Rattus norvegicus: one gene and its partners. The protein of the gene in region 1 binds, or shares a complex with, the protein of each later gene. Links are inferred from orthologs where the notes say so. Each region holds a gene or a part of one and is shown in the gene's direction. Other genes may lie near its edges. The genes, in order: Lrrc23, Dnajb13, Nme5 and Dydc1.

Region 1 (6,749 bases):
CCAGCCAGCAAATCTCACAAAAGAAATGTATTGGAGGGTCCAGGAAGTGGAGGGACGAATCCAGGGATGACTACCCTCTGCTCCCAGGAGTGCACAGCAGGGAATTGGACAAAAGGCAGGGTTTACATAGGGTTTCTTGGGGGTGGAGACCTTCAGGGCAGAGATTTCCAGATTGAGGATTGGTGGGATTTCAAGTTCTGATCTTGGGGAGCTCAGAAATGGATGGTTTTCCCTGTTCAGGAATTGGTAGGTGTTCCTGCTTAGGGATTGGTGGGTTTTGTGGGAATTTCAGGGATTGGTGGGTTTTCTTGCTCACGAAAACTTCAATCCTCCTGCCTCAGCAACAAAGTGCTGCGATTACAGGACTGTGTCACTTAACACACTTCCACATGCAAAGCACTTCCGGCATTTGGAGTACATTAACATTACTCTTTTTGCCTCTAATTCCAGTACTTGGAAGGCTGGGGCAAGGTTGCTGTGCATTTGAGGCCAGCTTGGGTCACACAGTTCATTCCAGGCCATCCTGGTCTACACAATGACAATTCTGTCTCAAAATATCATTTTTAATTTCTCTCCTCACGATAGCCTCAGAACTGAGAATCCTGGGGCAGGGGCAGGGGCAGGGGCAGGGGCAGGGGCAGGGGCAGGGATTTGTTTACTTAAGGGTCAATCAAGTACAAAGCCACTTATATTGTTTTTGGAAATTCTCTGTTCCTTTGAGGTGAGCGCTGTTTCATTTTGAAGTAGCCCAGGCTAGCCTGGAACATTCTCCTGCTTCAACAGAGAGCTGCCGTTTACGGCTGTGTGCTACCCTGCATAATTCAGCAATATATCTTTAGGTAATCTAGGCTGACGAACACACAGCTATAGAGTGATAGAGCCATTTGGAACCCAGTATTTATACTTTAAACCCAGTGCTGTTGCTAGAGCCCCCATTCCTTGACACCAATAGAACAGATTTGTCTATTATGTTCTTCAAGCCAGACTGATCCAAAGGAACACTTCCTAACTTTCAGCCCACACATATTCCATCAGACCACGTGGCAATCTTTAAAAAGACTAGTTTAACTAAGTGTATGGTTGTGTGCGTGTGTGCGTGTGTGTGTGTGTGGCGGGGTATGTATGTGAAGGCCAGAGACATTGGATCCCCTAGAGATGGAGTTATAGATGGTGGTGAGTCACCTTTTGTGGGTGCCAAAAACCAAGCCTGAGTCCCCTGCAAGTACACGAGGTCCTTAACCACTGACCCATCTCTCTGGCCTCCGATTTGCATTTTATATAAAGCATGTAACAATTAGTCCCATGTCTTCCTGTATTAAGTGTTCTCTTTTCCTTAGATTCCACAAGATAGTGCTAGCTGGGTGTGGTAGCCCTCACCTGTAATCCCAGCACTTAGGAGGCTGGGAAAGGAGTGACTTTGAGACAGCCTGGCCTACATAGAAAGACTGCTTCACAGCAAAAGCAGCCACAGCAAAGACCCAGAGTAACTCAGCAGACTCTGCTCAGTTGTTAAAGTTACGTTTATTCTACAGAATTCTAGATAGCTGCTAGTAAACTGCAGAACTGCCAAGACTCCAAGTCGGGGGGGGGGGGGGGTTGGGGATTTAGCTCAGTGGAAGAGCGCTTGCCTAGCAAGGGCAAGGCCCTGGGTTCGGTCCCCAGCTCCGAAAAAAAAAGAAAAAAAAAAACCGACTCCAAGTCGGACTTTATTGTTTTAGATTTATTAATTTATTAATAATTTATTTTATATGTATGCTCGTTTGCCTGCATACATACATTCATGCACCATGTGCCTGTTCTGTGCAAGTAGAGGTCAGAAGAGGGCGTCAGATCTCTCTAGAGCAGGAGTTACAGATGGTATGTGGGTGCTGGGAATGGAGCTAGATCTTTTAGAAGAACAGCCAGTGCTCTTAATCGCTGAGCCATCTCTCCATCACCTGCAAGAGGGAGTCGCCGGGGTCACAAGCTGGGTCTTAAAGCAGTTTGCTCCACCAGTCCACCTTCCAAGACCTTCCAATAAATAATGAGCCAAACCCGACCAGCAACAAATCCCATAACGTAGTATTTCTTGCTTCTCTTAGTGTCTTTCCTCTCATCCATCCCCCTTTTGCTTCTTAGGGATGGTCTACAATTCCTTTGCATCCAGACATCTAGTTGCTTTAAGGACTTAAAGGCCAGCCCAGCCTCCCTCCCGCTTCTCAGCGCTGCTGTTATAATTAGACCATTGTTTTATGTCCCCCGACAATTAAGTCCGTGACACTCTCTTCTCGCCTCCTCCAGGTTCCTGGGATTAGGAATTTGGCCTCGTAACCTGGCAACCACTGCACTACCCGCTGAGGGTGGAAATAGGGGCGTTAGGGTTTGTGCTTTGCGGTTGAGGTGCTCCAGGCTCTCAACGGAAGCTGGCTGCAAAGCTAAGCATCCCGCCCCCGTTGCCATAACAACAGTATATAACTCCTGCTACCCCGTTGCGTCTTCCGAAAAAAACAGTCCTGGCCTCTCAGCACAAAGATCTTCTTCATAACTACTTCTAGAGGAGCAGAGTCAGGGTCTGCTCCCACTTCTGAAGGCGAACTGGGTTGGAGGGTTGAAGACGTTATCGTGTCAGGGAAATGGTGGTGTTAAGCAGGGAGATCGCATTAGAAGAATAGGGGTTGGGGGTGGAAGAGAACCTGGAAGTGAGGTGTGGGTAAGGAAGGGGAGAAGGAGTTGGTAGGGGAGATTTTAGGAGGACATGTAGAACTGGATTAAAGGGAATTCAGGAAGGAGGACGCTGGGCTGCTGGGGCAGAGTTGGAGGCAAGGAAAGGCAGGAACAGTTTGGGAGTGTGGGAAAGTGTCCCGAAGGGAGCCGGGAGCGGGGGGAGGGGCGGGGGGCTCCAAGCAGAGACTGGGAGTCCAAAGACGCTCTCCAACATGAGGAAAGATATGCAGTTGGGAGTTCAGAGGTGACAGAGGCTGTATGTGTAGGGTACCCGTAAGTGGATGTGAGGGACTGGAGGGCTGGTGGGCGTGGGAGCTAAGACCTCCTTTCTTAGGACCAGGACTGAGTTTCGTCTGACTCCGGAGCGCAGGGGAGAGAAAGATGTCGGATGAAGATGATGTGGAAGATGACTTTGATCAGGAGCCGGATGAAGTGGAAAAAGAAGAGGATGACAATGAGATGGAGGACTGGGAAGACGACTACAGGAAGGAGGGGGAAGAAGTCTCTGAGGAAGTGAGAGCCGGGACCAGGGCTCCCCGGGCTCAGGACTAGAGGGGGACTGCAAAGGGATGCCTGAATTACCCACCTCTTGCAGTGGCTGCCCACCCCCCTCACGGAGGCCATGATGAAGGAAGGGCTTTCATTACTCTGCAAGATTGGCAGTGGACTGGCTCACGCTTATATTAAGCTGGAGGTTAAGGACAGGTGAGGACTGAGAGACGGGAGCATCACGTGCCTTCCCTCTCTCTCTCCTGAGTGTTTTGGCTAGAGCTCTCTCTCTGGTCCCAAGCTGATGGGAAGAAATGGTGGGGATTTGCTTTTCAGAACTTCCGGGACTCTTTGGTGACTGGGAGGGTGACTTAGCAGTAGAGAGCTTGCCTAGAATACACAAGGCTCCGGGTTCACCCCCCAGCGCCAAGACAACACATTAAAGCTTCCGTGGGGGGTTGGGGATTTAGCTCAGTGGTAGAGCGCTTGCCTAGCAAGCGCAAGGCCCTGGGTTCGGTCCCCAGCTCTGGAAAAAAAAAAAAAACTTCCGTGGGAAGCTCTGGCATCCTTTCATAGTGGAGTCTCAGAGATGTAGCTTAGTGGTTAGGAGGCAAGGTACTAGTTTTGATCTCTGCACTGAAAAACAAGAAGAAAAACCCCACTTGCCTCTTCTTTCCCTTCCCTCTCCGTCATCCAGTACAAGCTATCTCTGCGTTGCTCTCTGTCCGAACATCTCTGTTCTTGCTGCATTTGAACTCACTCAGTTTTAGCCCAGGAAGGCCACAGCCTTGTTATTCTGCTGCTTCAGGGTCCTAGGTAGTAGTAGCTGGGTCTGTAGGTCTGAACTAGTAGGCCTAGCACAAATGTTCTTATCCTTTATGGTGGATCTTCTCCTGGCCCCCCAATCTCCTAGGGACCTCACAGACATCTCCTTACTGCGCTCCTACATCCACCTCCGCTACGTGGATATTTCTGAGAACCATATCACAGACATGTCACCACTCAACAGTCTCACTCACCTACTGTGGCTCAAGGCAGACGGCAATCAGCTCCGGAGCGCCCGGCTGAACGAACTGCCCTACCTGCAGATCGCCAGTTTCTCCTACAACCAGATCACAGACACCGAAGGCATCATCCATCCCCGTCTGGGAAGCCTGGATCTCAAAGGTGGGTTCTTAGGAAGACACACACAGAACTTCCCTTCCTTGCATGGAGCTGACAGAAATAGGCAGTATATGCTATGAGCCACACAGCCATCTGTATACAGGCATTCATTGGTTAAGACACGTGCTGGGCCGGGACTTTGACGCAGCGGTAAAGCCTTGTCTATATACTTATACAGGGCCTAGCTGAAAACAGAGGCCTATTAAAATTAATTGCGTTCTTTTTTAAAAATTTACTTTTAATTACATGTACATGGGCACATGCAGGTGTCTGTGTAGACCAGAAGAAAATGTCAGCTTCTGGGGAATCTGCCTGATGTGGGTGCTGGGAACCGAACCTGGGTCTTCTGAAAAAGCAACCAGGGCTCTTCACCACTGAGTCATCTCTACAGCCTCTCATAAGATTCTTTATGCTGGAGATGCTGACTGAACAAAGCCAGAAGTCTCTATTCTCGTGTAGAGTCCACTCTGTTTAGGGCGCTGAACAGATAACAACATAGTAAGTAGATAGAAGCCGGGTATGAAGGCTCACAACTGGGACCCTACACACTGGAGGTGTGAGCAGGGTTGATGACGTTCAAAGGCAGTCTGGGTCAGCTTGGCTCGCAGGGTGAGACCCTGTCTAAAGAACAAAGCATAACTCAAAAAGGAGGTAAATTCTATAGAAAATAGAGTGGAGAAAGATTGTAAAATGCACAAGTGCCATTCTCTCTCTCTCTCTCTCTCTCTCTTCTGGTACAAGGGACTGAATCTAGGATCTTGTGCATGCTAAACAAGCACTCTTCTGTCGAGCCATATCCCAGCCCTATTATGACTTTTTATTTCATTTTTTAAAAGATTTTTAAAGGTTAGCATGTTTATGCATTTTTTGCATGAGTGCTTTGTCTGCATGTAGGCCTGCACACCAGAGGATGGCATTGGATTCCATTATGGATGGTGTGGTGATTTGAATATGCTTGGCCCATGGGAAGTGGCACTTTTAGGAGGTGAAGCCTTGTTGGAGGAGGTGTGGCCTTGTTAGAGGAAGTGTGTCACTGTGGAGGTGGGACTTTGAGGTCTCACATATATGCTTAAGTCTGCTGGTTTGATACAGAGTCTCCTCCTGGCCGCCTTCTGATCAAGAGCTCTCAGCTCCTTCAGCACCATATCTGCCTTTCAGACATGGTAATGGACTGAACCTCTGAAACTGTAAGCCAGTCCCAATTAAAGAGTTGCCTTGGTCATCGTGTCTCTTCATGGTAATATCCGACAGCCCCAAAGTCCATATTTCTCCAAACAAAAACATGATCAGGCTTGTCAGAGCAACACCCCCGTCCTGGTACCAACTTCTGTCTTAGTTAAGGTTTCGTTGCTGTGAAGAGACACCATGGGCCAAGAATTTCAAACCACCATGTGAGCCACCACGTGACTGCTAGGGATGGAACTCAGAGCCTCTGGGAGAGCAGGCAGTGCTCTGAGCCATTAAATTCATCTCTTCAACCCCAGAATTTACTTTTAATTTTGGGGAGAGGGGCATCTTGTAAATTTCTGAAGCTGCACTTGAACTCACTCAGTTGTAGCCCAGGAAGGCCGTAGCCTTGTTATTCTGCTGCCTCAGGGTCCTAGGTAGAAGTAGCTGGGCCTACAGGTCTGAATTGTAGGCCCAGCACAAATGACAATTTTAAACTGGTTGTTTAGGTGAAATGCCACCTGACCAAAGGTATGCAGGGAAGAAGGACGTCGGCCATGAGTGTTGCTCAGGCATTAGCAATTCATTCTCAAAGTATAGATGGGCAAACCCAGGTCTACTTGCCTCAGAGCTCCCTCACCTTCCACCCCACATCAGAGCGGGAGAAGATACGGGGTCAGGGGAAAGCAACATGTCTCCTGCTGAACCTTCACCATGGCCCTTTGCGATCTCGATTCCCTCTTTTCTGATAGGGAACCGCATCCACCAGGTGACTGGTCTGGACCCCGAAAGACTGACTAACCTGCACACCCTGGAGCTTCGAGCGAACCAGCTGGAAACCACAATAGGAATCAACCTTCCCAAGCTAAAGAATCTCTACCTGGTAGCTCATGGGTCCTCGGGTGGCACAGGGAAGGGAGCAGCCTTGGCTTCTGGTAGGCTTAGCTAGTAGCTTCAGCACCGTGGTGGTGACAAGGCCCACACGGGGTCTGATACTGTGGAAACATAAAATTAAAACAGTAAGTACAGGCTCATGCTTACAGTGGTAGCGCTTGGGAGGCTGGGTAAGGAGGACTGCTGAGAGCTAGAGGCCAGCCTGGGCTACAGAATAAGACCCTGTCTCTCAGAGGGAAGCGAGTAGGAAAGAGGGAGAGAGGAAGGCAGGGCTACAATATATGATGTGTGATATAGGTTGTTGCAAAACGTGCTTTTCAGGTACAGAGAAT
Region 2 (4,963 bases), on another chromosome or scaffold:
AACAAAATGAAACAAAACAGATAGTCTTTGGTCCATGGGTCTGAGAGGTGGGAATGCTGTGCTGAGCCTTATTCTTGGGGCACTGAAGAGGTTCAAGGGAATATAGGGGTGTATGTGTCTGTGGGTGTCTGTGCATCTATGTCTGTCTGTGCATCTCTGTGTGTCTCTGTGTCTGTGCATCTGTGTGTGTGTCTGTGTATACGTGCATCTCTGTGTGTCTCAGTATCTGTGTCTGTCTGTGCATCTGTGTGTGTGTCTCTGTGTATGTGTGCATATGCGTGCATTTCTGTGTGTCTGCATCTGTGTGTGTCTCTCTGTGTGTCTCTGTGTGTGTCTGTGTATGTGTGCATCTCTGTGTGCATCTGTGTTGTGTCTCTGTGTGTGTCTGTGTGTCTGTCTGTCTATCTGATCTGTGTCTTTGGACATCATTTCTGTTACTCATCCTCCTATCTCTTTTAGAATTTTTTGATGCAGAAGGAAATGATATAGATTTGAATTTTGGGGGGCTTCGGGGCCGAGGGGTCCAGAAACAAGACCCTCCAATTGAACGAGACCTCTATTTGTCCCTGGAGGACTTATTCTTTGGCTGCACCAAAAAAATTAAGATCTCCCGAAGGGTGAGTACTAGGCTGGCTCCCCTTACCAGGCACCATCTACCTCCACAAACCTCCCTGGCAGGTCCCCCTCCCCCAACAGGAAAACTTGGCAACCTTTTCTGATGGAATCATGAAACTCTTAGGTCAAAAGACTCAGCAATTTTAGACTTTAGACTTTAGAATCGAAATTTGAATGAATAATATAAAGATTCAGCCTTTTTTTCTGGTACAGAAGTCCCTTCTGCATCTATCTAATGGGAACAGGGTCTCTCCCTTCCCAGTCCAGCCACCCTAGTGGAAAGCGGAGGAGTGGGAGTAGAAAGAATCTGCCATTCATTTCACTCCAGGGCATTACAGACCACACCCCAAGGACTGTGTGCCTCAGCCACAGGGTGGGCATGGAGGTGGGCAGCACAGTCTCTAAGGCGACAGCTTAGCGAAGACCCTTGTGAGTAGTTGCTGTGAGTAGTAGTAGTCCTTGGACTGACCTGACTATGGCCTGTGGTTCAGCCTTCTTCCTCCCCTTTGCCTGGGGGAGATACCCACTGTGGCCATGCTGTCCAAAGGTGGCACTGTGAGCTCATGGGGTTGCAGGCACAATGGAGGGGTGGGGGAAGGGATGCTTTGCATGAGGCTCAGTATTTTGCCTTCTGAGAGGTCCACTGCATGCTTGTGACCAGCCCCCTCTTTCTTCATATGAACCAGTAACTTCCTAGAAACCGAAGTCTGGGGTCTCTAGTGATCTTGTAATAGACACTGAGGGGTAGTGGGGCCTAGTGTAGGATAGGGAGGACGTTGGGATTAGGGCCAGACTTCTGGGATTTGGAGATAGGAAACTTTCACTATGTTTTTGTTGGTGGCCAGCACTTGTGGTGACTGGTGTCTCAGGCCACAGCTTCATCAACTTGAGGACATGCCTTGCCTTGGAGAGTCACAAGCTCTTAAATCTAGTGACAGTGGGATGGGAGTGGGAATGACTCTAGTCCCCCATTACTATGGGTACAGAGTACACCCTACAGGGCCTTTCCCCTGAGACAATTCCCCGTCCCTACCCCTGTCACCGTAGGTGCTAAATGAAGATGGGTATTCCTCTACCATCAAGGACAAGATCCTGACCATCGATGTGAGGCCTGGGTGGAGGCAGGGCACGCGCATCACCTTTGAGAAGGAAGGGGACCAGGTGAGAGGGAGAGAAGCTGGCTCGGGGCAGTCAGTCACCAGGTTCAGGTAGTGGGGGGACCGAGAGGGAAGGAACACATTTTTTTCCTGTTCCTACAAGTTTTGGTCTAGAGTTAGGTGGTCCCCAGAGCCCCTTCCCAGGGACAGAGCATCCCAATGCTTCTGTGAGCTCAGCTTGGAGATCACTACCATTTTCCACAGTGGGAAACTGAGGTCCGAGATGGAAGAAACTTGCTCAAGATATGAACACAAAAGGCTGAAAGAAGGGCCTGGGGAGATGACCCAATACCACCCAGGGATGGAGACCTGGACTTGGTCCCCAGCGCCATTGGCAGAGCCCCTGTGATACCAGTGCTGGAGAGGCAGAGACAGAGGATCTTGGGGTTTACTGAACAGCCAGTCTGAATTGATGTGCTCTTGGGTCAGGAGAGATCCTGTCTCAAAAAATAAGATGGAGAGCAAGTGTCAATTTGTCGCCTCCGCCAGCACATACATGAATATAGGCCTGTGCTCACACAGAGGAAACACGCGTGTGCACATATACACACATACACACAGACAGAGAGGAACACACACACAGTGTAACACACACAGAGGAACACACATACACAGAGAGACAGAGACAGAGAGAGACAGAGACAGAGGAACACACACACAGTGGGACACACACACACACACACACACACACACACACACACACACACACACACACCCCTGGCGGGAGAACTCAGTTCAGCTTCCCTTCCAGTGTCTTTCCTTGGTGCAAGGAGAAAGATGTTCAGAAGCATTTAATTAATAACAATATTAAGCTAAAATACCTGTGGAAACATTGTTATTGTACAAGGATCCCAAGTGCTTACATGTTGACAAGAAACAGTAATGGCCAGCTCAGAGCTGAGAGAGATGGATTCTCTTGCCCCCACTTGTCCCTTTCTTACGTGGAAAACACCTGCTTCCAACAATCATGCTTCAACCTGGGCCATTGCGAGCCACAGCAATTCAGGAGGCTGAGGCAGGGGATCACTTGAGCCTTAGGAGTTTGAGTTCAACCTGGGTGACATAGCGAATTCCAGGCTAGTCTGGCTACAGAGTGAGACCCTGTCATAAGTAAGCGAGAAGACAGGCAAGCAAATAGATATTCAGTGCCAACATCCTCCACTCTGGCCAGCTTTTCCCAACCTTGGCATGGCCCAGGGCCTCCTCAGAGCCTAACCTCTGGCCCTCCCTTCATCTGGGCTTTGAGCTTACAATTTTTGACTATAAGGCAATTTCTGACCATCTGACTATTTCTTGTCCTGGGAACAGCAGCTGCTCTTGCTCTCTGTCTTCAGTGGTCAGAGTTGAGGCAGCTCACTGAAGCGAAGAGATCACTGCTGAGTTTCTGTTAGGCAGAGCAGCTGTTTGACCCCAGCTCAGGGTCTAGCTATCACTTGCGGAAGTCCCTGCCCCACACTACTGAGAACACTTACTTTGAGCATGCTCAGTAGAGAAGTGCTTTGGGAGTGGGAAGTGATTTTGATCTAGGGAAGCTTCTCTAGAGGGTGGCCCTAGGCCACACTGAATGCTCCCTCTAGAAAACTGGGCCTAGTTCTCCTTGCACAGTGAGGACCTGGAGACAAGTAGAGACAGAAATGTGGCCAAATCATATAAGCAATAAACCCGTTACCCCTTGGCTTTCCCCGCCTAGGGCCCCAACATTATCCCGGCCGATATTATCTTCATCGTAAAGGAGAAGCTGCACCCTCGCTTCCGCAGGGAGCAGGACAACCTCTTCTTTGTGTACCCCATTCCTTTGGGCAAGGTGAGTGGGTACAGCGCAGAAGGCCATGGGGGCCCAGAGTGAACCCCACCTGCAGCAGCTCAGTTCCATCTCTTCTCCCCTAACCAACTTCTGCAGTCACAGGCAGGGCCCTATATCTCTCTCCCTGGCATTAGTTGGATCTGTGGGACAGCCCCTCCCCATCTCATCTTCCCACCCTGTCCTGGTCCTGCTGCTGTCCCCAGGCTCTCAACATGTCCAAGTGGTTCTCCTCAAGGTGCCCCCGTTGACTCATTCTTTGCACTTCAGGTCTCAGGGTGAGGACACCTGCCCACCTCACCCTAGAGCTGCTGCCCCTACTGTGTGGCAGCATTCAGAGCCTGTCACCCCTGCCTCTCAAAAGCCTTACACTCTGTCATCACGGAACTGCCTAGCTCAGGGTTGGAACCCAGGTAGACTCCCAGACACCTTCTAAATAGAATGGCTGCAGTGATGCCCTGTAGACCTCTCTCTCACTCTAACCTCCCCCACCCTCAGGCCCTTACCTGCTGCACTGTGGAGGTGAAGACCCTTGATGACCGGCTGCTCAACATCCCCATCAACGACATTGTCCAGTGAGTCTGTCTGCCTAGTCCCCAAGTAGCCACAGAGAAGATGGACTAAGACTTGGCAGGGCTGTGCAGGGAACCCTGGGAACCCAGGCTAGGATTCAAATCCACTGGCCTCTGCCTGAGCCACGGGCTGTGTTCACCCTATGGTGGGATCACCTTTCTCTAACCCATGGGAAGCCCCTGCATAGGCCCGAGAAGCCCAGTGCTGGTCCATCTCTTGTCTCCATCCCCAAAATCTTCATCAGAGCATGGAGCAGTAGCTCCCAAGTCTTGTTCCAAGAAAAGTCTCAGAGAAGCGAAGGTCTGACTCCCACCCCAGGTCGGCCTCGAATCCTAGGGAGAGTTGTGCAATCCCGGGGGGCGGGGGACCAGCCAGGAGGGTACTCACTTTGAGCAAGGATTTCCAGGAGTGTTGTGAGTCTTCTATGCTCCTTCCTTTCTTCTCTTTCTGTCTCAGCCCCAAGTACTTCAAGATGGTGCCAGGTGAGGGGATGCCGCTGCCTGAGGACCCCACCAAGAAGGGAGACCTCTTCATCTTCTTCGACATCCAGTTCCCCACCCGTCTCACACCCCAGAAGAAGCAGATGCTGCGCCAGGCACTGCTGACCTAATTCCGGGGGACCTGAGCAGGAACAGGGATGGAGAGGGCTAGCTGGGCCTTGCCCGCTCCTACCCCCTCAGCCCCCACAGCCTGTGAAGATGGGGAAGCACGAGATCTTAGGCTGACATAATAAAGATTCCTTTCCTATCCTCTAACTATGACGGGAAGCGAGTCGGGGGGATGTTACCTCTAGGAACCAAAAAGCTAGGCACCTGGG
Region 3 (6,024 bases), on another chromosome or scaffold:
AGCACCCTCTCTGACCCCCCTGGGCACCGAGCATACAGCTGGTGCAGGTACATATATGCAGACAAAACATTCATATACATAAAATAAGTGTTTCTTTAAAAAGCAGTAACAACCAGAAAACCAAACAAAACAAGTCTAGAAGCCAAAAGTAGAAAAGTAAACATCACCTACAGTGTCCCTTGGGAAGCTCTAGAGAGGGGCTTGCTTGCTAGCTTGCTTTCCTTCCTTCCTTCCTTTTTTTTTTTTCTTTTTTTTCTTTTTTTCTGGAGCCGGGGACTGAACCCAGGGCCTTGCGCTTCCTTGCTCCATGCCATGTAAGGCATTTCCACAGTGACCAATGGGGTAGGGCCCAGCCCATTATGGGTGGTGCCACTCCTGGGCTGGTGGTCCTGACTTTTTTTTTTGGTTCTTTTTTTTCCGGAGCTGGGGACCGAACCCAGGGCCTTGCTCTTCCTAGGCAAGCGCTCTACCACTGAGCTAAATCCCCAACCCCTCTTTCTTTCTTTCTTTCTTTCTTTCTTTCTTTCTTTCTTTCTTTCTTTCTTCCTTCCTTCCTTCCTTCCTTCCTTCCTTCCTTCCTTCCTTCCTTCCTTCCTTCCTTTCTTTCTTTCTTTCTCCTGAACTAGATACTCTGTTTCTGTTGTAATTCTTCCTAATTACCCATGAGGCTTCAGAAACCTGTTGGTACGTGGAGGGTGGAGCATAGAAGAGGTAACAAATTAGCAAGAATAGTGCAGGGGGGCGCTCTGTCTCCGCCCCAATCACTGCTCCTTTGTTCTGCACTCAGTAAACTTGTCTTTTTCCAAACAAAACAAGCTACGAAAGTCATAAATCAATGTGGAAATGATAATTCCACTTCTTTTCCCATTTCCTCCAATTTGAAATCATGAAGCCGGTGAGCCTTTAAAAAGCAGACATACAGAGGAATAGTGTGCTGTCTTTACGTACTGGGGGGTGGACCTAGGGCTCCGTCCCAGGCAAACCATTGCCAGTGAGCTGCTTAGGCCTCCTTTATTTACCTAGTTTTTTTTTTTTTTTTTTTTTTTTTTGGTTCTTTTTTTCGGAGCTGGGGACCGAACCCAGGGCCTTGCGCTTCCTAGGTAAGCGCTCTACCACTGAGCTAAATCCCCAGCCCCTACCTAGTTATTTTTAAGATTATCCTATTTTTGTTCATGTCTATGTGAATGTATACCACATGCGAGCAGATGGTCTCAGAGGCCAGAAGGCATTGGGCCCCTGGAGTTGGAGTTACAGACAGTTGTGAACCGCTTTATGTGGGTGCTGAGATCTGAATTTGGGGTCCTCTGGAAGAAAAGTTGACCTTAGCCATTGAGCTCCTCCCCCCCCCTTTTTTTTATTTTGAGACAGGCCCGTATGTCTTGGTTGGCCTTGAACTACTGCTCTTCCTTCCTCCACCTTCTGAGCACTGGGATTTCAGGCATGCACTGCATGCAGCCTGTTTGTCCAGCCCTCTGCTTTGAGGCAAGGTCTCAATGTCCTATCCACGGGCAAACCTGCTATCCACCTGTGAGCGTGTTTGATTTATCTGGGCCAGCCTCCTGAGCAGCTGCCAGCATTGGTTTGGATTGGCTTCTTCTCTTGTGTGTGTGGGTTATTGTTATTTAGTTTAATTTTAAATTGTATTTATGGGGGCTGGAGAGATGGCTCAGTGGTTAAGAGCACTGACTACTCTTCCAGAGATCCTGAGTTCAATTCCCAGCAACCATATGGTGGCTCACAACCATCTGTAATGGGATCCAGCATCCTCTTCTGGTGTGTCTGAAGACAGCTACAGTGTAATTTATATACATAAAATAAATAAATATATTTATTTCTCTGTATAATCACAAATTTAGCAAGCACCATGTGTAAATAGTTCCTTAATAAACAGGTACAGTGTAGGCATAACAACTGCTATGACAGCATCCAGATGACCAGGCAGGAAGATCACTGTGGGTTTGATGCTAGCCTAGTGAGTTCTATACAAGCCTGGACTACAGGGAGACCCTACCAGATAGCCAGTAATAATATCAATTATAATACCTTAATAATAAATGTAAAGATGTAAAACTCAGATTTAAAGTTCACATCATGACAGTTATACACTCTTGAAGGCATCCCTTTTCTCATAGCTGTATAATGTTTAATCACTTATATTTGCTTTTTAGTAAGAACTTCTTTGTATTTGCAGTGATTATCGAACCCATTCCAATTGGACAAGCTGCTAAGGACTATTTGAATTTGTACGTAGCACCAACCCTACTTCAAGGACTCACAGAGCTTTGCAAGCAAAAGCCAGCAGATCCTTACGTAAGATACTTTTTTTTTTTTAAGATTTATTTATTATTTATAAGTACACTGTAGCTGTCTTCAGGCACACCAGAAGAGGGCATCAGATCTCATTACAGGTGGTTGTGAGCCACCATGTGGTTGCTGGGATTTGAACTCAGGACCTCTGGAAGAGCAATCAGTGCTCTTAACCACTGAGCCATCTCTCCAACCCCCGTAAGATACTTTTTTATTCTCATTGGAGAATACTTACTGTTTGTGGTTTTCATATTTCAAACTGTAAACTTGTTTGTTTGTGAGAGAGGGTCTCACTATGTGGTCTTGGCTGTCCTAGGGCTCACTGTGTAGACCAGGCTGGCCTCAAGCTCTCACAGATCTACTTGCCTCTGCCTTCTGAGGGCTGGGACTAAAGACACCACCATGCCTACTTAAATATTTATTCTTTCAGTCTGAAGACTCACAGGTTCTGAGGCTTGCTTGGGTGTTGACTCTGTGGTAACCAAGCAAGACAATTTAGTGAGACAGTGCCTCAAAATAAAAATTTAAAAAGGCGCAAGGCCCTGGGTTCAGTCCCCAGCTCCGAAGAAAAAAAAGAAAAGAAAAGAAAAGAAAAAAAAGGTTGGGGATTTAGCTCAGCGGTAGAGCGCTTGCCTAGGAAGTGCAAGGCCCTGGGTTCGGTCCCCAGCTCCAAAAAAAAAAGAACGGAAAAAAAAAAAAAGAGAAGAAAAGAAAAAAAAATTTAAAAAGGTAGACTGGTCACTGTGGCCAGTGCCTTTAATCCCAGTACTTAGAAGGTAGAGTCAGGCAGATCTCTGTGAATTCGAAGTTTGTCTGGTCCACACAGTGAATTTCAGGCCAGTCAAGACTATATAGTGAGACCCAGTACAACCCCCTCAATGGTGTGTGTTGGGGACTGGGGAGGGACAGAATGTAAGTAGAGAATCAGCTCCCAAAAGCTGCCCTCTGACCTCCACAGGTGCACTCTGGCATGTATGCCTTCCCGGCAGCACACATGGTGTTAGGGGTGTGGTGTGATAGCAGGGCACTTACTGGGCATAGCCAAAGTGGTGGGGGCTTCACTTTGTGGTGGTTTGAAAATGCTTGGCCCAAGGGAAGTGGCACTTTTAGGTGGTGTGGCCTTATTGGGGGAGGTGAGCCTTGTTAGAGGAAGTGCGTCATTGTGGAGTTGGGGCTTTGAGGTCTGATGGTTGTACAGCACTCAGTACTCAGGAGACAGAGGCATGCAGATCTCTGAGTTCAAAGTCAGTTTACAAAGCCAGGATAGGCAGGCTTAGGAAACGAAGGAAATCACTGAAAACAGAAAACTTGTGAAGATGTAATAGTCAAGGAGGCCAGCCCCGGGCGGCTTGAGACATGTGGCTCTGGCTTTACCGTCAATAATAGAATGGATACTGGGTCAATTGATGCTGGTCAGCTGGTGCTAAGAAATTAGCGGTGATTAAGAAGAAACCAGCATCAATCTTCTGGGAAGTGTTTTCTGAGAGCACAAGAAGCTATGTTCCACACACAGCCAATGGTGTGCCTTGTGCTGCAGCTGGACTTGGTAATGTGTAAGGATCATCCCAGTGGTACTTACTGGTTTTGAAGGCATGAAGGGGTCATGGAGAGCAGCCGAGGCTGGACACTGTGAGAGGCCAGGAAAGGTGAAGGTGTAGCCTCAGTGGCCCTTGAAAGCCCAGGACTAAATGGGTCACGCAAAGGACTGAGGCTTGGCACCAGAAAGAGAGCTTCCCCCTGGCTGCCTGCAGAAGACAGTCCCCTTCTGCTGCATGCATCCTGCCGTGATAAAAGACGGAAACTGTAAGCCAGCCCCACTTAAATGTTAGCCTTTTTAAGAGTTAGCCGCCTTGGTCATGTTATCTTTTCACAGCAATGAAACCCTAAGACAAGTTTCCAACACAGAAAAATATAAACCTGTGTTTGGCTTATTTCACTGTTTTATTAGCCAGTCAGTAGTGACAAGCATGTGTCACGATCCCATCCTTTCCATGGGTGAATAGTGCCCGTTCGATCGTGTGAGTCCAGTTTCCAGTTGTGTGTCAGTATATAGGAATGCAGTTACTGGGCTCGTTATTGTTACTGGAGCTACTGCTCAGTTCCAGTCCGGTTCCTGTCAGGAACTGCCCAATCTTTTACACGGGTGGTTGTTCCATTCTACCCTCCCATTTGCAAGGTGTGAGGGCTCCAGTTTCTCTTTGCACCACCGTGTCTATTGTTTTACTTGCTCATTAACAGCTGCCCTAGTAGATGTGACAATGGCTGATTTGCATATTCATGATGCTGAGAGCATCCTGCCAGGAGTTTGGGAACCTTGTCTGGGAACTCTGAATCCAGGTTCAAGTTCAACATGTGTGGGACACACACACACACACACACACACACACACACACACACACACACACGCATGAATGTGAGTGAGAGACAGAGGCAGAAAGAAAGACAGGCGCTGGAGAGATGGCTCAGTGGTTAAGAGCACTGACTGCTCTTCCAGAGGTCCTGAGTTCAAATCCCAGCAACCACATGGTGGCTCACAACCATCTGTAATGAGATCAGATGCCCTCTTCTGGTGTGTCTGAAGACAGCTACAGGGTATTTATATAAATAAAATAAATCTCTTTTAAAAAATGAAGAAAAAAAGAGAGATGAGGTGGGGGTTGGGGGGTGAGTCCTTTGTAAAGCCGGCTGGCCCTGAACCTAGGCCCCTCCACCTCAGTCTCCCGAGTGCTGGGCTTACAGGCAGGAGGAACCGTAGCTGATCTCTGGATGGAGTTCGTTCCTGTGGGATCATTGCCTTCTACGACAAAGACAGGCTCACCTCTCCCTTTGAGCTGTACTTGTTTTACCGCCACAAGTAATAGTTTCAAGGTTTTCTGTTTTGATTTCGGTCATTTATTTAGTATATAGTTTTAGATTCACTGATTTTATATGGATGAGTGTTTTGCCTGCATATATGTCTGTGTACTGTATGCTTTCCTGGTGGCTGGAAAAGTCAGAAGAGGACGTGGGGTTCTTGAGACTGAAGTCAGGGCAGCTGTGAGCAGACATATGGGTGCTGGAGATGGAGCTCAGGCCCTAAACAAAACCAACGTGTGCTCTTAACAGCAGAGCCATCTCTTCAGACACACTCTATTTAATTTTGAGGAAAGGTCTCTTTCTGTAGCCCAAGCTGTCTTAAACCCTTTATAGAAAAAAAAATCATTTTTTTCTTTGCTTCTTTACAGAAGGAGGGCAGATGGTGTGAGTTTCCCTAGAGCTAGAGGTACAGGTGGCTATGCACTGCCTGACGTGGGTGCTGGGAGCTGAACTCAGGTTTTCTGGGAGAGCAGGACACACGCCATCGCCCCAGCCCAGGCCTTAGGTCTTGGTTCTCCTACTTTACCTTCCTTGCCTTGCTAGGCCTGCCTTTCTTTTTTCAGGCACGATCTTGCTATGTAGCACAGGCTGGCCTTGGACTTTGCTATATAGCCCAGACTGGCTCAAACTTGTTATTCTCCTGCCTCTAGACCTCCCTCATCCCCTAGTGCTGGGATTACAGGAGTGAGCCACCACACCTGGATTCCATTTTCTTATTCTTTGTATTAGCATGGCGTAGTTATACATAATGAGATATTATGACATTTTCTTACATGTACATAATGTTGGGTGGTTTCTTTTGCTTGTTTGTCTGTGGCAGGGGACAGGGCTTCACTATGAAGCCCTGGCTGCCCTAGAACT
Region 4 (6,569 bases), on another chromosome or scaffold:
GAGGAGGACACAGTGGGGCAGGAAACGTATACCAAGATTAGCAGGGTTATAAGGAGAATGAGTAGCTGGGGGAAGGGAAGCCCATGATGGAGTTTAGGGTAGGAGAGAAGGTGAGAAGACCTTGGATGCTAGCATGAACCTTGAAACACTACGTGTGACACTGAGGGAGCCTGGAGGCCAGTATGCACTTTGGTATGCTAATAGGCACCACATTCTGCCAGTGATAAGGGAACATACTTTTTTTGGTAGAGAGGAATTGGCTTTGGCTTCACAAGTTCCTGCAGCATGCTGGCTCTTAACAAGCACCACAAGTTCTCCTATAGTTCAAGCTGGACCCATTTCTGGATACTCGGACTGCCTTCTGGAGTTTGAGGAACTGTGATTTCATTTGGAGCTAAAACTACAGACTGGCAACCAAGACTTTGGGGGTCACTTAAAAGATGCAAACCGTAACATTACCTTTCTTAGAATAACCAACCAAATCACCCTTGCCGATCGCTGTTACGTTCAAGCCCGCTTCTTCAGCTTTTCAGCTAGAATACGTCAGACCAGGAGTCCCAGTGGTCATCAGTGTTGAAAGGGCCTGGCTCATTATTAGTCAAGGGTGCTGAAGACTTTTAACCAACCCACACAATATTCCCTCTTAAGTACAGAGAAAATAAGGCCCTGGAGAGAAACTCTGTGTATACAGCAAGCTGTGCTATTGTGAGGTTGGAAGCTATTCTATGACATAGACAGCAGAGGCTCATTTACTTTACAGGGAGAGAGAAGGAGGAAGAAAATGATGGGCCTGCAAATGATGGGCCTGCCAAGCCTCATCTGACATGCAATACCACAGCACGGCTTTAGGGAGAGCGGATGATCCTGCATTTCCTAATAGGTGTCAAGAGTGGCAGATAATGTCGTCTGACACAGAAGTTGCAGTACCAGAGCAGAGCCACAGCAGCACAGAGACCTGCACCAGACAGCCCACGTCTTGGTGTTGCCACTTACAGCGGTGTGCTCGTCAGCAAGTTGCTTGGTGTCTCAGAGTCTTGGCACCTTTTAGAAAACAGAAGTAAAATACATACCTCACAATATGGAAGGAGCGAATGGAGCTACTGATCACGTGAAAGGCACTGAGCCTGGCATACAGCAAGAATTTAAGAAACAGGAGCTATTACGGAACAAGATTTTGTCAACATATGTTCCTAGCACCAAGCCTCCATATTCCCAGTTTTTCAGCTCACGACTGAATAACTAGACATTGGTATAGAAAATATAAATACATTTTACCCCTCACTGATATCAGAGTCTAGAATCGCAAATACCCCAGGAGCAGTGAATGCTGCCAGCACTCTTTGTTTCTTTGTTTTTCTCCATGAGGCGGGGTTTCACTGTGCTAGGCTTGCCAGCAACTCCCTAGGTAGCCCACCATGGTTGAACATGCTTTTTCCTGCTGATCCCTTCCCAGTGATGGATGCGAGGTGTGCACCACCATACCCAGCTGCAAAGGGGGATTAAATATTGTTCATGAATTAAGGGATCGTAGATCCTTAAGGAAAAGTTTGGCTCCAGGGTTGGGGCAAAAAAAAATATAAGCAGCCAGAGACAGTTTATTATGCCAGGAAGTAAGACTCTGACAATGTAGACACAGGAGCCATCTTGAAGGCTTATTCCAGTGCTACATTTTTGCTTCCACAGGAACCCATAATCTCAAACCCGGAACCTGTGGATGTTATGTTGTATGATAAAGGGGGCTTTGGAATTGTGATTAAGGATCTTAAATAAGGAGTGTGTGTTATACAAGCGGGACCTCTCAGTTACTTTTCTATTGGTGGTGAAGAGATACCACGATCAAGACGGTTTACAAAAGAAAGCACTTAACTTGAAGCTTTGCAGTTTTAGAGGGGGAATCACAGCCGCCATGGGATTGGGAGCATGGGCACAAGCAGGCACGGTGCTGGAACAGTTCTCAAAAGCTTGTCTTCACGTTGGAGGTAGGGGCAGACAGAGCGAGCCTGCTGTGGACTTTTGAAACCTCAAAGTCCACCCCCAGTGACACACCTCCTCCAACAAGACATCTCCGAAGCCTTTCAAAAGAGTTGCAGCAACTGTCAACCAAGCATTCAAATATCTGAGCCTCTCGGGCTCATTCTCACGGAAAGCGCCACATAGGCACAGCTGTAATTGCCAGAGGTGTCAGTAAGGCCAGACGTGGAGGGTGGCAGAGTGACAAAACACATGGAAGAAGGAGCATGAAAGTCAAGATCATGTCCAGAGACAGCTTCTAGAAGTCAGAAGACAGGGAAACGGAACATACAGAAGGGTTTGTGTGGATTAAGTTTTCCACATCCCTGCTGCTTCATGTGATCGGACGAGGAGTTGTTGTTTGGTGAAGTGCAACTTCCGATATCTTAGATTGAATATATGTGTGGCTCGACGAAATCCCCAGTGCAACCCCCAGTCACTGATCCTCTCGCTATTCTCGTAGAATCCCAGCACAGAATCACCAATGCACTGCCAGAGCGTCTCTCCATGCCTGGATTACTGAGTGACTGCTGCACTGCTTAAACGCGACAAGCCCTCTGAGGATACCACCCCTGGCACTTGTCCCACATTCAGTACCGAGTAAAGATGTCTGAGTGCTCTGATGTTGGGGGCGGGTGGGCAAAGGAAGGGCTCAGACTCTGTTGATCCATCAGCGTCCCTTCTTGCATTTATGCAAGCCTCTACCACCGAGCAATGCCAGGCCCATTGTTTGCTTTTTGTTGCTCTGGTAAACACTATGACCCGGGGGGAGGGGGGAAGAATTTATTTGGTTTACAGATTACACTCAGTCTATCATCAAGGAAAGCCAAGCCAGCAACGCAATGGGAGAGTGAGCGTGAAACAGTAACCATGAAAGGAAGGCTTTCGTTCTCTGGCTGATTCGGCTACCTTTTCTACACAGCCCAAGCCTGCCTTCTCAGGGACAAGCACTCCCCATAGTGGACATATGCCCATAATTAGCAACCAAGAAAATGCCTCCCAGACACGCCCACGAGTCAATCTGATGGAGACAATTCTTCATTTGAGATTTCCTGCCCCCAGGTATATCTAGGTTTGTGTCACATTGACAAGAACTAACCACGCACACCAGGGGAGAGTGCAAGCTAGAGCCTGGTGGAGGGTGTCTTTGGGCTAGCTGAAGTTGCTTGTGTGTGAGTTCACTCTGATATTTTGGTTGTGAGCCTAGCCTTTAACGGCTGAGCCATCTCTCCAGCCCGTGAGTTCACTCTGAAAGGTCTTAAAATTACCAAGCCAACAAGCCTGCAGCCTTGAAAGTGTCTCTCCTGACTTCAAAGATCTGCTGCTCCACAAGGCTCCTATCTAAGAAGAGTCCCCGTGTCTGCTGGGTTCCTCCCGCTGTTTCTCCACAGTGTTTCCTTTCCCATAAATCTGGTTCTCCCATCTGCGTGCCCCCTCCCCTACAGTGCGCGTTCCTGGCTCTATCGAGAGTGCACCCCCTCCCCTAGAGTGCGAATTCTCCTTTCATTTCCCTTTGCCTCCACTACTTGGGCTGCAATGGAACCTTAGCTCTACACTAGAGCGTGCTCTCGTTGCCAGGCAACGGGACGCGACTCACTGGCGTGTGGCCAGAACGTGCATCGGATGCGTGCACCAAGGAGGCTGGAGCGTTTTCCTTCGAACCGGCCCTCTAGTGTCTCTGCAGAAGCAGTTCTAAAATTTTCACCTTGAGAGTCAAGTAGGTCTCAACTCAGAATCCGAGGGAGGGTTAGTTCTCCTGTAAGAGCCTTTGGAGCGCAAGGACTCCTTCTCCTTCCTCCTCTCTTCCGGCTCCTCCTCTTTCTCTTCTTCCTCCCCCCCTCCTTCTCCCGCCCTCTAGCCACCCAATAGGAAAACTAATCTAAGTGTCTAGGTTGGTGGCTGCCTGATTGAAATTTACTTTTAGATAAGCAGGTTACTTGCTAGCACAAATATATATAAGACAATTATTCATTGTTTCTCAGAAATTAGGTCTGCGGTGGTTTTGAGTGCCGAATCCAGCACTCTTCCCAGGTCCTGGCAGAGAACCTCCTCCATTGTCTCAGAGCAGCTGCTCCAGATGTTTCTGTGGGAGCGGACTTTCTTCTGTGAAGCTGGATGAGCACTGGTGTTTGCTGGGAAATAACACTTCTTAGGACAGAAGAGATGGCTAGTAGTTTCCTAACCTGACCAGGAAATGTATGTTGCAGAGATGACAGAGGGACCTCATGAAAGCCCCACGGAGAACGCTAAGCAGCTGCCAGAGCCCCAGATCCTATGTTTTTGGAGCAGCAGGAAGAGTGTATTCCATGTTGTATATAAATGACACTGATACGTCCATGTGGTGATCTTATCTATAGAGAATTTCCCACAGAAGAAGCACCGTGAAGACACAGCCCAGTCAGTTGCCGTGTTTGTCTCTCTGTGATTAGGACACCAGTGCCAATCTAGTTGGAAATCAGCGTATTTGTGCCAGCTCCAGTCGTTCTTAGGGCTACACTATACATACACGTGTATATTCCTTTGGAAGCAGGAGCAATTTCTACATCTCCCTTTTCCTCCTGCATTGTGCCTCACTAGGAAACCACTGCCTATTTTAGAGAGCATTTCCAGCCCCTTATATTGTGGCTGGATTCCATGGTGTTGTATGTAATTGATCCCCTGCCAGGACATTCAGACAGCACTTTCAGTCTGACTATAATAATAACGTGTGAATAACCACGTTCACATGTCACTCCAGTCTTGAGTCTGCACCTTTGAGACAGGAGTCGAGAACTGCAATGGTGAACATATTCTGGTCTTTTAATCTCATTGGGTCACAATTCTGGGCTTGGGTGGGATCATTTGTTTGGTCTGTTATCCTATATAACTATAAATAGAAATAGTCACCCTAAAAAATACTCACGTATCTGCCTTCATACCTGAAAAGACTGGGGAACAGCTGAGAGTAGGCACACGTTTGATTACTTGCCACCATGGAGAGACAGCAGGGCACACACATGCGCATGCATGCACACACATACTAACACTCTCTTATACACTTTGTAGGCAGCATGACAAGGGCTGTATGAGCTACTTGAAGTAGGAGAAACTCCCTTGTACTGCTTGACAAAACTCCAGAGCCAGACATGATCTGTGGCTCGAAGGAGGAGGTATGTTCCAAGAGTAGAGAGGAAAGGATTATTGAGATGGGAAAGCACAGTGTGATAGCTAGAATATGGCAGGATATTCAGTGGGGTAAGAGCCCAGGATATATGATGACAGGGACGTGCTTGAGGTGAGTCTTAAGGGAAGCTGTGGTGGTTTGAATATGCTTGGTCCAGGGAGTGGCACTGTTAGGAGGTGTGGCCTTGTTGGAAGAAGTGCGTCACTCTGAAAGTGGGCTTTGAGAGCTTCTTCCTAGCTGCCTGAGGAGGATGCCAATCTTCTCCTGGAGGCCTTCACATTAAGATGTAGAATTCTCAGCTTCTCTCCTGCAATGCCTGCCTGGATACTGCCATGGTCCTGCTTTATGGATAATGAACTGAAACTCTGAAAATGCAAGCCAACCCCAATTAAGTGTTGTCCTTATAATAGTGGCCTTGGTCACGGGCACTGACTAACACAGAAGCTGATACCAGAGACTGAGGATCGCTGTGATACCATGGTTTTGGCTGGAGGAATGTGGCTTTTGGGACTTTGGATTTGGAAAGCCATGGAATGCTTCAAGTGAGGCTTAATGGTTCGTCCTAGTAGGAATATAGAAGATATTGGTGATTTGAACTCTGGAGATCTTTCTTATGCTTTGGTGAAGAATGTTGCTGCTCTTTTCCCTTGTCTGAAGAGTCTGTCTGAGACTCAGGTGAAAGGACTCAGATTAATCACACTGATAAAGAAAGTCTCAGGAACACCCAGCATAGACTTTGTCCTCTGGATTACTGTCATGAAGATTGCTCTGATTAAGCATAGCAAGCCTAAAAAGAAAAACTACAAGATGTATGGTTCAAATAATAAATGGGCACCAGGAAGTGCAATGGAATGAAATCCTGCGTTCAAGTATATTAAATAGATTAAGGGAGTGGTGACCTCAGGACAAGATCCCACCCAGCTAAGCTTATTGTTTATGTGTTTGCAGTTGGACAAGGAATAGTTATATATCACGTTAGGTATTGTTACCTGGTTATTGTTTTCATTTTGACTTTTAGTCTAGAATGAACTACAGTCCAGAAATGGAGAGTACACCTGTGATCCATGTCTTAAGGTTGGAAGAGACAGGCTTGATTCGGATCTTGATGTAGAATGACACATGCTTTTGATCCAGATCTTGAGGAACAGTGACCATGAAAAACTTAGGTCCAGGCATTATGGTACATGTCTTTAATCCCGGGCGGGGGGGGGGGGGAGAGAGAGAGAGAGAGGAAGAGAAGAAGAAGAAGAAGAAGAAGAAGAAGAAGAAGAAGAAGAAGAAGAAGAAGAAGAAGAAGAAGAAGAAGAAGAAGAAGAAGAAGAAAGGAGAAGAAGGAGAAAGGAGAAGAGAGGAGAGGAGAGGAGAGGAGAGGAGAGGAGAGGAGAGGAGAGGAGAA

What was found.
Region 2: Lrrc23 (region 1) and Dnajb13 share a complex: the UniProt entries of both Homo sapiens proteins name them as parts of the axonemal radial spoke complex. The link is inferred for Rattus norvegicus from reciprocal best matches to the Homo sapiens genes LRRC23 and DNAJB13.
Region 3: Lrrc23 (region 1) and Nme5 share a complex: the UniProt entries of both Homo sapiens proteins name them as parts of the axonemal radial spoke complex. The link is inferred for Rattus norvegicus from reciprocal best matches to the Homo sapiens genes LRRC23 and NME5.
Region 4: Lrrc23 (region 1) and Dydc1 share a complex: the UniProt entries of both Homo sapiens proteins name them as parts of the axonemal radial spoke complex. The link is inferred for Rattus norvegicus from reciprocal best matches to the Homo sapiens genes LRRC23 and DYDC1.

The regions. Positions count from the first base shown.
Region 1 is NC_086022.1:159,273,470-159,280,218, reverse strand, and holds the start of Lrrc23 (leucine-rich repeat-containing protein 23), read left to right. Parts: upstream 1-2,454; 5' UTR 2,455-2,549; exon of another isoform or gene 2,550-3,037; 5' UTR 3,038-3,084; coding exon 3,085-3,216; exon of another isoform or gene 3,217-3,298; coding exon 3,299-3,408; exon of another isoform or gene 3,409-4,105; coding exon 4,106-4,359; exon of another isoform or gene 4,360-4,977; intron 4,978-6,275; coding exon 6,276-6,406; exon of another isoform or gene 6,407-6,522; intron 6,523-6,749. UniProt on the Homo sapiens protein: Essential for sperm motility and male fertility. Plays an important role in the proper assembly of the third radial spoke (RS3) head and the bridge structure between RS2 and RS3 in the sperm flagella.
Region 2 is NC_086019.1:164,261,813-164,266,775, reverse strand, and holds part of Dnajb13 (dnaJ homolog subfamily B member 13), read left to right. Parts: exon of another isoform or gene 1-459; coding exon 460-617; exon of another isoform or gene 618-1,662; coding exon 1,663-1,776; exon of another isoform or gene 1,777-2,209; intron 2,210-3,462; coding exon 3,463-3,576; intron 3,577-4,071; coding exon 4,072-4,148; intron 4,149-4,533; exon of another isoform or gene 4,534-4,602; coding exon 4,603-4,756; 3' UTR 4,757-4,963. UniProt on the Homo sapiens protein: Functions as part of axonemal radial spoke complexes that play an important part in the motility of sperm and cilia.
Region 3 is NC_086036.1:26,440,182-26,446,205, reverse strand, and holds part of Nme5 (NME/NM23 family member 5), read left to right. Parts: exon of another isoform or gene 1-2,191; coding exon 2,192-2,310; exon of another isoform or gene 2,311-6,024. UniProt on the Homo sapiens protein: Functions as part of axonemal radial spoke complexes that play an important part in the motility of sperm and cilia. Does not seem to have nucleoside diphosphate kinase (NDPK) activity.
Region 4 is NC_086034.1:16,972,207-16,978,775, forward strand, and holds the start of Dydc1 (DPY30 domain-containing protein 1), read left to right. Parts: upstream 1-2,825; 5' UTR 2,826-3,072; intron 3,073-3,573; exon of another isoform or gene 3,574-3,828; intron 3,829-6,569. UniProt on the Homo sapiens protein: Functions as part of axonemal radial spoke complexes that play an important part in the motility of sperm and cilia. Plays a crucial role during acrosome biogenesis.